Linked DNA regions of Drosophila melanogaster. The protein of the gene in region 3 interacts with the protein of the main gene of each other region in a pairwise test. Each region holds a gene or a part of one and is shown on either strand. Other genes may lie near its edges.

What was found.
Region 1: the proteins of CG11349 (region 3) and Crtp interact in a two-hybrid assay, tested with the Drosophila melanogaster proteins (one large-scale study listed by BioGRID).
Region 2: the proteins of CG11349 (region 3) and CG13742 interact in a two-hybrid assay, tested with the Drosophila melanogaster proteins (one large-scale study listed by BioGRID).

What each region holds. Positions count from the first base shown.
Region 1 is NT_033778.4:24,492,456-24,496,208, reverse strand, and holds the start of Crtp (Caldesmon-related protein), read right to left. Parts: upstream 1,692-3,753; 5' UTR 1,604-1,691; coding exon 811-1,603; intron 759-810; coding exon 1-758. Other genes in the region: CG13590 (uncharacterized protein), read left to right, coding at 2,261-2,320, 2,380-2,697, 2,750-2,953; CG13589 (uncharacterized protein), read left to right, coding at 3,354-3,413, 3,470-3,753.
Region 2 is NT_033778.4:9,085,627-9,089,379, forward strand, and holds the start of CG13742 (uncharacterized protein), read right to left. Parts: upstream 2,007-3,753; 5' UTR 2,005-2,006; intron 1,945-2,004; 5' UTR 1,932-1,944; coding exon 1,680-1,931; intron 1,625-1,679; coding exon 1,461-1,624; intron 1,395-1,460; coding exon 1,288-1,394; intron 1,188-1,287; coding exon 967-1,187; intron 907-966; coding exon 752-906; intron 701-751; coding exon 589-700; intron 467-588; coding exon 319-466; intron 267-318; coding exon 95-266; intron 92-94; exon of another isoform or gene 39-91; coding exon 1-38. Other genes in the region: Dbp45A (DEAD box protein 45A), read left to right, coding at 2,285-2,360, 2,416-2,957, 3,016-3,182, 3,240-3,598, 3,665-3,753.
Region 3 is NT_037436.4:4,471,495-4,475,247, reverse strand, and holds CG11349 (uncharacterized protein), read right to left. Parts: upstream 2,181-3,753; 5' UTR 2,172-2,180; coding exon 2,169-2,171; intron 2,111-2,168; coding exon 224-2,110; 3' UTR 153-223; downstream 1-152. Other genes in the region: CG32248 (uncharacterized protein), read right to left, coding at 2,864-3,409, 3,481-3,483.

The DNA.
Region 1 (3,753 bases), on a different chromosome or scaffold from region 3:
CTGCTCGTACTTGCGGTACGCCAGTTCCGCCTTGGAAAAGAATCCTGGCCAGCAGTAGTCCCTTAGACTGCTTCTCTTCACCATCCTGCCCTCTGGTCGCATGTCCAGCTGGTTCTGCCGCTCGTAGCGATCTACGGCGGTGGCAATGGGATAGAGAGGTCGCCCCACCTTTCTCGACTCCTCCATGATCTCGACCGCCTGCTCAAAGAACTTCTTGTCATCCTCCAGGTATGGATCCTCATTGCAGGCGGCCAGGTTCATTAGCTCGGCGCGCCGCTTCTCGAGGAACTCTTCCCGCTGGCCAAAGAGAACGTTGCGCAGCTCCTCCTTTACCTTGTCCCTCTTTCGCTTCTGAGAGGCATCGAAGAAGCGATTCGCCTCGGCGTTCTTAAGGCGGCGCGCCACATGGAAGCGCTGCAGCTCCTGCTGGCGGCGGAGCTTCTCGGCGTCCTGCTTCCGCTCCAATTTCTGATACGCACGGCGCTCCTTGGCCAGCATCTCCCTTTCGCACTGACGCCGGCTGTCGTCCACCTGCGTCTCAAAGGCATGGCGGTCCTCCGCGTCAATCTGGCGCTCTTCCAGCTTCTTTTGAAGCACTTGCTGCGCCTGGGAGACACGGAGTGCCTGTAGCTCCCTCTCCTCCTGACGCTTCTGCCGCAGCTGCTTCACGTGGCTTCCATAGCGACTGTCCAGATTGCGACTAGCCACGATGTAAACACAGTTGCGCCGGTCGTCAATGGCGTCGCAAATCCGCTCGTCTGGGGATGAGGAATAATATGAATATATCCAGTTCTGCTAAATAGTACTTACGTTCTGCAATCTCCGCCTTCTCTTGGAGGGCCTCCTTGTAGGCCTTTCGATTGAAGGCGATTTTCCGGGCCTTCTTCTCTTTGAGCGCCTTCTCCTCCTTGTCCTGCAGACACTTGTACTGAGCCCGATCCACCTGCTCCTCGAAGACCCGTTGCTCCCGCTCGGCCTCCCTGATCCTTGCCCGCTGCGCGATGTCCGCCCGCATGAGCTCGGCATGTTCCATATTCTTCGCGGTCTGCCTGGCCACCTCCTCCTCCTCGGTGGCGTGGCCGAAGGGCACCAGGGCCGCAGGACACATCTCCTCATCGGCCCTTTCCTGGGCACGGGCTGCCTCCGCTATCTCCTCGTTAAGGGCCTCATTGTACTTCCTCTGATGAATCATTTCGCTGTAAATGAGCGCCTGGTGCAGAGCGCGGGGTCCGGGCTTCAGTTGATCCAGTAGACGATTGGCTCGCAAGATCCTTTGCTTGCGCAGCCGCTCGTCCGCCAACTTTGTGTCCACATCCTTTACCACTGCCATGGCTTCCTTGCTCTGCGCCCTAGCTGATTTCTTGACCTTCGGAGCATTGGGATCTGTGAACAGGCTGCAAAGAAGCTCGTTGCCGTCCTTCAGGTACTGCCGATACCTGCGTTCCTCCTCGACGGCCTCCATTTGGGCATGCTTCTCATCCTGGCGAGAACGTCCCTTTATGGCTGCAAACCGCTTGGCCGAGATCACCACCGGATGCCGCGTAAAGCGCTTCCGGACAAAAAGTCCATCGGGACCCACTTCCTTGGGCTTGCACACATTCATTTTGGCTATGGCAACATGAATATAGGATCAGTTCGTAATGTTGTTGATTCGGCAAGGGTGTTGTATGTATGATCTCCTCAGAAAACAGGAAAGCTTCGCTTATAAACAAAATATATGTCAACACCTGGACTACTGTGCTTCCATATCGATTTACCTAGGTACTTTTGTTATTTTCTGCATGGGTTACGCGCAAAGAATAAATAATGGCCAAGTTCAAATTAGAATAGATGGATGATTCAAGTGAAAATTGAAGGTCACTTTATCCAGTTTGTCGGAATATTTTTCGATATTTTAGGGCTTGCAGGTGGTAAGCGACGTTCATAACATTGAAGTTCATGTTCCACTTCCGGCTATTCGATTTAAGGCCGCAGTTTGCTACGAATTTGTATTTCACCTATTTAGAGGAATATTAACTTACTTCGAGTGTCAAGTGGTTTCGAGTTTTCGATCAGTACCAGCCTCTAAAAGTGTATTGGCTGGTTGCATTTGGTGTTATTGAAACATTTATTAACCGTTTTAAATCGATATTTAATGATAATGTAATAAACGCATTCTCCACTTAACCATCAATTCAATTTGATCAAAAATAGAACACATATTCAAGCTAAAGAGCCAGGTTACGTCAGTTATCCACGGGTGGTCGACCGACCAAGAGCCATGGATCACAAGGTTTTCATTTTCGCCGTTTCGCTATTAGTGGCCTATCTAAGCTGCGGAGTAAGAAATCGGATTGTAGGACCTAATTACATTTCAATTAAAGCTACACATTCCATCAGGAGGCGCCCTATCTCAAAATGACAAATGCAGTGTGCAAATCGTATAACAAATCGTGGGTGGTTGTTCACTACTGCCGCCTGAAGGCCTATTCTCGAGCCAAGACCAGCTTGAATATAAATGTCACGTTCGTGGAGCCGGCCAGAAATATATCAGTTCACTTTAAGACGATGAAAAAGGCCAATGGGTATAAGCCTTTTTTGTTCGACTACACCTTCGACGCCTGCGAGTTCATGCGAAGGCGCAACCAGCCAGTGGCCAAGATCATCTGGTACATGATCCGGAACGTGTCCACCATCAACCACACCTGTCCCTATGAGGTGAGGTCTCCTCAAACTGCTATTTAGGGACATAACCCATTCCATCTTTCAGGGCTTGCAGATGCTGAGCGACTTTCACAAAGTCGACATTCCTGTGCCACTGCCATCTGGGGACTATCTACTAATGGTCGACTGGTTGTTCGATGGCAAAACGCAGTTCGCCACGAATGTATATTTCACATTTATAGAGGACTTACTGCCGACGAGCTCGAAGCACAGAAGGGGCAGTAAGGAGTTCCCCGTCTTACGGAACTGATATTCGGTTGCTATTCACAAAAATACGAAAATTGTAACGACACTAGAATTTGAATAACTAACAAAAATTGCATCGAGACCCTTTTACTCAGATACTAACTGACTTCACAACTCAGTTCCCGAGAACATTGGTTTTTGAAAGGGAAGTAGATCCTGTAAAATGGAAAGTATAGATTTATTTTCTAGGACTCAGAAGTTCACACGCGTCCAACAGAAGTATATATGCAACTGGTATAATGATCTTCGATGTACATACATAACCATTACGTAATTTTCCAGTCGAATGGCTCCATGATACATCGTTTTTACCACATCTGCTAATAGGGTTTCAACTAAAATTTGTATTTAATGAAGCTTATTTACCAGTACACCGTCAGTTTTCAACGGAGTGGTAAACAGCCATGAATCGTAGGCGGGCCGCTTTTGTTGTTTCGGTAATACTTGGCTTTCTGGTCTGCGGTGTAAGAGATCCAATAACATATTATATATTTTATAAATACTTGAAAGCTTCCCCCAGGAGGCACCCCTTGCTAAAATGACGAATGCTGTGTGCAAGTCGTACAACAAATCGTGGGTGGTTGTTCACTACTGTCGCCTGAAGGCCTATTCCCGAACCAAGACCAGCCTGAACATAAATGCCACATTCATAGAACCAGCGAAAAACATATACCTTCACATGAAGATGATGAAGAAGGCCAATGGGTATAAGCCCTTTTTGTTCGACTACACCTTCGACGCCTGTGAGTTTATGCGAAGGCGCAACCAGCCGTTCGCTAAAATCGTTTGGAACATGATCAAGAA
Region 2 (3,753 bases), on a different chromosome or scaffold from region 3:
TGGCATGATCTGTCCAGCATTTGTTGGCCTCTTTTAGCCTAAAAACATAGAATAGTGAAATAAATTTTAAAATGTATGATTTATAATTACTAACCGAAAGCACAGCATGAGAATATCCGCACACACTTGCGATGTAATAAAATCCTTTTGAAATATGCCGGCACAGAAATACCTATGTAGTTCTATGTTACCCACTAAATACAAAAGACAACCAAACGCATCCAATACTTGATTATAGCGTTCGCCGTGAACAAAATTTTTAGCATCTGTGGGCTCAGTAAGTAGTAAGAAATAAATATGATCGAATCGACACCTTACCTTTAAACAAATATTCAAAAGTTTGTTGTAATGTTCGGCAAGTAGATGGGAGCACATCCGCATCGTCTGTAGACACAGCATTAATAAAATCCATGCAAGCGTCGAAGTAGTCAAATTTTGGTGTACCAAGGACACTGGATATTAAATACTAAAAGGACAAATTTTAGTAACATTAACAAAATCTGATGATGTATTGTATGAATGAATAGTTTTCAATCAAAGTCTATCCGAAGACATTTATTTGCAAGCGATTTCTGAATTTCATCTTACTTCTTGACATTTTTGGAACTTGTAAAGCAGCTCTAAAATATCTAGTACATGTGGTCGTACTAACACAGAAATTAGCTGTTGCTTCTCGATGTCAGAGTAATGTGATGGCCTCCTAAAAGAAAATACAATTATTGCAAATAACCATTTCATTTTTCAAACTTACGTTCGTTCACACATTATTAAGTCCATCAGACAAACAGCTACATCATCATCAACATACACCACACCTTTTTGAAGAATATGATATAACAATACAATGTAGGTCCTGATACCATCTACAAGCTCCTCTAACTTTTCCGCAGGAACAATACGATTGTCCTAAAAAAAATGTCTTGTTAAATAAACTCTTTTACAAATCGTAAGCTTTGTTATACGAACGATGTCAAAAGTACTATTCAAGTGAACGGTAACCACATCACATAGATGAAAAACAGTTTCCCTAAGCCAATTGGGCAGTTTTTCGTCTGTAGGATTAGCATGCCAGGTTGTCATGAAGTGCAAGCAAATATGAGCCAACGTCTCGCCTGTCTGTACAGATAACTGCAGATCACCAGTGCGTGTTCCTTCGGTATCTGCGATTTCCATTATCTTTTGCATCACTGACAATTGTTTAATATAAAGTCTATAATTAGTCTACAACAACTTTCAGATAATACTCAAATTTTTGGGTGTATCAATTCGTTAGTATTCCTAACTTACAGGTCGCAAGGCGAGGGTGGACTTCTGTCAAATTAATGATAGAATCCTTTATTAAAGAAAGCGTTTCGAGTTGAAGATCCGCAACAATCTGGCGATGACTCTTATCGCTGAATGATGTAAGCAAAAATATATAGAAATATTTTACATATAGGTTTTATCCAAGCCCCTCTTACCACATTAAACAGAAGTCGATAATTGTAAAGACAAGATAGGCAAGGATTTGAACCAAACGTTCGCCTGCTTCCAGCAATCGATCCCTGAATGTGGATACAAATTCTTGTGCCACAGACATGAGTTTTATATGACCGCTGTGGACTTCATTGCCAGTTTCTGCTTCCTGAGGACGAATTTAAAGTTAATAGACTGAAGCGCATTGTGTAAGAATTACCTACGATCGTGAACCACTTGCACATTTCCCGAGCTGCTAGTACACAATACCCGGAATCGTCGATGTATGCTCCTAATAGTTTGGTGAACCACAATGTCAAGACATCCACAGGATTCGCGGATTTATTTGCGATACATGCTGAGCAAATGGAAACCGCCGAATCAAAGTCTATCATCAGGATGATGTCCTTCTGGTCTATAGCCACCAGCTCACTGTAGGCTACAGATGCACCCAGGCTATCATGGTTTTCGGACATCTTTGCATTGAGTCTAAATCGAAATATTCAGTGTGTTTACAAAATGATCGCGCCCATAGATGCGGAATCTTACCTGTCTAGAGCGTGACTATTGTCGATTAATTATAAAATGTATTATTAATTTTATAGTGAATTTTTTCTTATTACTCGCCAATAATTCTGCGGTTGAAGTAAATAAAAAATTTAATTGAATTTAAATTAAAAATGCGTACTAAATACAGCTAACCACTCACACGGAGCAAAAATTAAAAACGTATCGATAGTTATATACCGATACAGAAGACAATACTTCCATCACTAATACAGCGCACGTTGTTTTCCTTTTTTATTTCGTTGTATTTTTATTTACCGAAATGCAACGAAAGGAGGCCAATCCCTTTCAGATCCTGGGCCTACGTCCATGGTTGGTTAAGCAGCTGACCAAGTTGGGTAATGTCAAGCCGTCCACGGGTTTACCCAAGTAATTAAACCATTGCGCTTTCAGGCCTGAAGGGAGCAACTCCAATCCAACAGAAATGCATCCCAGCGATATTGGCGGGCCAGGATTGCATTGGAGCTGCCAAGACGGGCTCGGGCAAGACCTTCGCCTTTGCCCTGCCCATTCTGGAGCGGCTGAGCGAAGAGCCAGTGAGCCACTTCGCCCTGGTGCTGACGCCCACGCACGAGTTGGCCTATCAAATCTCCGAGCAGTTTCTTGTGGCTGGACAGGCGATGGGGGTGCGCGTATGTGTTGTCTCTGGCGGCACAGACCAAATGGTCGAGAGCCAGAAGCTTATGCAGCGACCGCACATCGTGGTGGCCATGCCCGGCCGTCTCGCGGATCACCTAACCGGCTGCGACACCTTCTCCTTCGACAATCTGAAGTATTTGGTTGTTGACGAAGCGGATCGCATGCTGAACGGAGACTTTGACGAGAGCCTATCCATCATTGAGCGCTGTTTGCCAAAGACAAGGCAAAACCTTTTCTTTTCCGCAACCATGAAGGACTTCATAAAGGAGTCCAGCATATTTCCCATTGCCAGCGATGTAAGTTTTATGAATACCCTGTTGAATGGTACTAATAGATATCTTAATCCGAATGTAGTGTTTTGAATGGTCGCAGGACTCAGACGTGGCCACTGTAGAGACTCTGGACCAGCGTTATCTGCTGTGCGCCGACTACGATCGCGACATGGTCTTAATAGAGGCACTAAGAAAGTATCGCGAGGAGAACGAAAACGCTAATGTCATGATCTTCACCAACACAAAAAAGTTAGTTGCACAATAATAGGAAGTAAATTCTAAGGATTTAATAACGAATCATTTTAGGTACTGTCAGCTTCTCTCGATGACACTGAAGAACATGGAAATCGATAATGTTTGCTTGCATGGTTTCATGCGGCAAAAGGAGCGCGTAGCTGCTCTAAGTCGCTTCAAGTCCAACCAAATACGTACACTGATCGCTACGGATGTGGCCGCCAGAGGTCTGGATATACCCAGCGTCGAGCTGGTTATGAATCACATGCTTCCCCGGACACCAAAGGAGTACATCCATCGCGTAGGCAGAACAGCAAGAGCGGGGCGCAAGGGCATGTCCATCTCCATATTCCGCTTTCCACGCGATCTAGAGCTTTTGGCCGCCATTGAGGAGGAGATCAACACCAAACTTACAGAGCATCCCATCGATCGTAAGTTTTGTTGGAATTAGTGGCACACAAAATAACTATCTTTAATATATATATTATATAAATTAGAGCGCATGGTGGAGAGAATCTTTATGCAAGTAAATGTCACGCGCCGTGAATCAGAGATGCAATTAGATAATAACGATTTCGACGAGCGA
Region 3 (3,753 bases):
AAAGCTTAATCAAAAGCTCAATTTATAAAGCTCAGCTTGAAAACCCGTGTCGATTTCTCAACAAACTTTAAAGCTACCTTGAGCGGAAACGGAAGTAGCCGCCATAGTTTTCGCCTGAAAGTATGCTTTAAATAAGTAATCAAGGTTTGTTTGGTATGCTCTTGTAGCAAATGCTGATAAGTATGATTTAATTTATGTTATAATATGTTCTGTTTTAAAATACTTAAAACTCGAATGACTGTTTGGGCTTCTGGTAGTGATAGCCATCCTCACGATAGTCAGTGTCGTACTCCGAAGCAGATGTTTTAAGATCCACATTGTTTCGCTTTGAACTGCGCCTATGAGATCGCAGTTGTTTGGGAGCAACCACATAAGAGGACTGCTTGTTACTAGCCGCAAAGCCCAGAAATCCTAGCTGCCCATCATCGTCCGCATCATCGTCATCGGGTATAAGGACTGAACGCTGATTAGGATTAACCGATACCAAAGCCCGCTGGTGTCCATGATGAGGATCGCTGTAGAAGTTGCCGTCTATGATGTTGGTGTCCTGTTGATTTCCCAGCGCATTTGTGGGTCCCTGGAGATGGGGTTGTCCGAAAACGTTTCCATTCAGCACATTGAGACCCTGGTAGTTGGATCGATTGCGCTGTCGTCGGTTGTTGAGGCGTGGTACTTGTCCCGCTGCCAATTGGGCTCCAATGGAGGGGTCGGACTGTCGCTGATTGGGATCAAAAGCTCCTGGTCCAGCTGCATTGGGTCGCTGGTTAGGCACGCCTTGTCCAGCTCCAAGTTGGGCACCTGTCGAAGGATCAAATGCTCCCTGTGCACTTGGTCTCTGGTTAAAGCCCTGACCTGCACCCAATTGAGCACCCGTAGAAGGATCAAATGCTCCCTGTCCACTTGGTCTTTGGTTAGAAACACCCTCACCTGCGCCCAATTGAGCACCTGTAGAAGGATCAAATGCTCCCTGTCCACTTGGTCTTTGGTTAGAAACACCCTGACCTGCGCCCAATTGAGCACCCACGGAGGGGTCAAAAGGGCCACCTAGCTGAAGGTTGGGATCATATTGGTTTTGCGCAGGTCTTTGAGGTCTTTGACCAGCTCCAAAACCAGTGTTAAATGGTCCTCCGGCAGCTGCTTGGGCACCAAAGGAAGGGTCGAATCCTTGGCTCCCTCCAAGTTGAGCTCCTCCCGCAAGCTGACCTCCTCCGGCAGCCTGTTGATTTCCAGCTCCAGCATTACCTATGGCTCCCAGCTGAGCGCCCAGCGAAGGATCAACAAAAAAGTTGAGTCGGTTGCCATATCCACCTCCATAGCCACCTGGACGTGGAGGTCGCTGACCGTTACCCAGAACAGCCAATTGTCCGCCGGCAACAGGTTGATTGGCCGGAAGATTAGCACCAGTGGGAGCCAAAGCACTGGCTGGTAGCTGAGCACCTATGGGATCAGAGGGTCCACAGCCAGGTGGTACGTTTCCAGGTCCAACAAACTGGCAGTTGGGTCGAAATCCTGGTGCCTGGGCTCCAGTCGGTGCTTGAGCCCCAGCAGGATCCTGTGCTCCTGCTGCACGATCTGGGCGAGTAAGGGAATTCAATTCCGAATCCTGGGACTGCACGTTGATCTGCGTGTGGGTGTGGAACACCGAGTTGGGGGCACTGGCGTATAGAATTCGACTAGGACGACGGCGGCGATAAACCACTTGGGTAGCAGCTGGGGTGAACAAGTCCTGATTGTAATCCGTACGGACATGGGGCTTGCTATGCTTGTAGTGAATGTGCTGGGTCTTTACTTCTGGCTTCTTGTCATAGTGATGGTAGTGATCCACTCGCTGCTTTTTGGGCTCTTCATGTTGATGCTCCTTGTAGTATTTGGGCTCCTCGTGCTCCTCTACCTTGTGGTAAACCACCTTTTCACTGGTGTGCTTCTCCTTCTTGTAAAAAGGTTGCTCCACCTCCTTTTCCTCGTGGGGAGGTAGGTAATGGGACTCCTCATCGTCATCTTCGTGATCCCTGGAGTGATGATGCCGCTGGTGCTTGTGGTGTTTCACATGGGAAACGTCCGCCAGACATGCGATTGCCATAAGGCATAGAACCAGGATCACGAGGACATTCTAAAATAAAAATGGATTGGTGAAATGCGGAACCTAGAACCTATCGTTGATCCGTTACCATTGCTAAAGTGCCAGTGACTGTAAGCAGCTGTAGATGCAACTTATATACTCTCTTCGGGATCTTTTTTGTTGCATCCCCACATCGAGCCCCCAAAAAAGACCACAGTTGAAAGCGAAACCTGTTGCCGAGCGTGAGAAATCGATTCCGCGCTTTATGTGACCCATTTGTTCTTATTGAATAGCCGCCAATTTAAATTCTATTGAATATTCTGAAGCACAACGAAAGTGTCCCGTAAATTTGTCAGATCAAAGCGTTTAAATTTATTGGCCCAAGTGCGCTGCACACTTATGCGATAACGCATGGGTTCTTTGAACTTCGTTTCCAGGTGTGAATTTGGCCTAGTAATACAATTGAAGCTTCAAACTAATTTATCATTAACAACTGATTGTTAGTTATGGATAAGAAAAACTGCACTCCAGTACTAACTAACAATTATTAATAAAATTTAATTTTGCGATTTTTTTTTTCTTTTCTAGCAAGAATTTTAGCACTTTTGAAATGTTGTTTTAGGTTTTATAGTTTTTTTTTTTGCGCGCTTCTTTTGCTAAAACTATACACCATATCATTCTTGTTTAATTATCAAATTATCATATTATCTTTATTAGTGTTTTAATGCTCAAATAAAACTATGTTTTTATAAATTTAATATTCGAGTTTTTTATTGTCGCATTTTATCGTATCATCATCATCGTTTAAGCGCGGTGCTTGAACACACGGCGACGGACGGTCTTGTACTTGTATCCCTGCTGGCTGGCGGCGGGCTGGCTATAATCGTATCCGGAGCGGGCGGCAGAGGGGGCGGAAGCTGCGGCCTCGAACACCGGTCCGGAGGACTCGAAAGCAGGAGCTGGAGCAGAGGCGAAGGACTGCACGGGGGCGGGGGCGGGAGCTGGAGCAGGAGCAAAGGACTGAACGGGAGCTGGAGCTGAGGCGGCGGCATGGTGGTGGACATGGGGAGCGGGAGGCACGTATGTGCGGGCTGGTGCGGGTGCAGAGGCGGCCTGCTGGAAAACGGGAGCAGGAGCAGCTACTGGAGCTGGGGCAGGGGCAAACGACTGCACTGGGGCAGAGGCAGCTGGAGCTGGGGGCACGTAGGTCCTCACTGGAGCCGGAGCAGAGGCAGCTTGCTGGAAAACAGGAGCCGGGGCAGAGGCGGCTACCTGGCGGGGAGCATTGTAGTTGTAGCCAGATTCGGCGGCCACACAGCCAACCACGGCCAAGGTCAAGATAAAGAATTTCTACAGGGAAAAATCGAAATAGAATAATATGCCAACTAATATAATCCGCAATACAGATGGGAGATCCTTACCATTTTAGATGATCTGTTTGCTTTAGGAGCAACGAACCGAATAATATCTTAGACCGGCGACTCCTGTACTTTTATACAAGTCGGAGAATCTGCGGATCCAAACGGAAGTGCTGAGTATCATAAATCAACGAAACGTTTTTCTTCGCGTCGAAAAATTTGTTTAATTGGGCAAACAGATACCTCGACCACGACGCCATATGGGGCTTGTTTTTATCAGTTAGGTACGCCATGGAGTTTGGATTTAAAACTCTCATTTTTTTGCTGTCATATTAA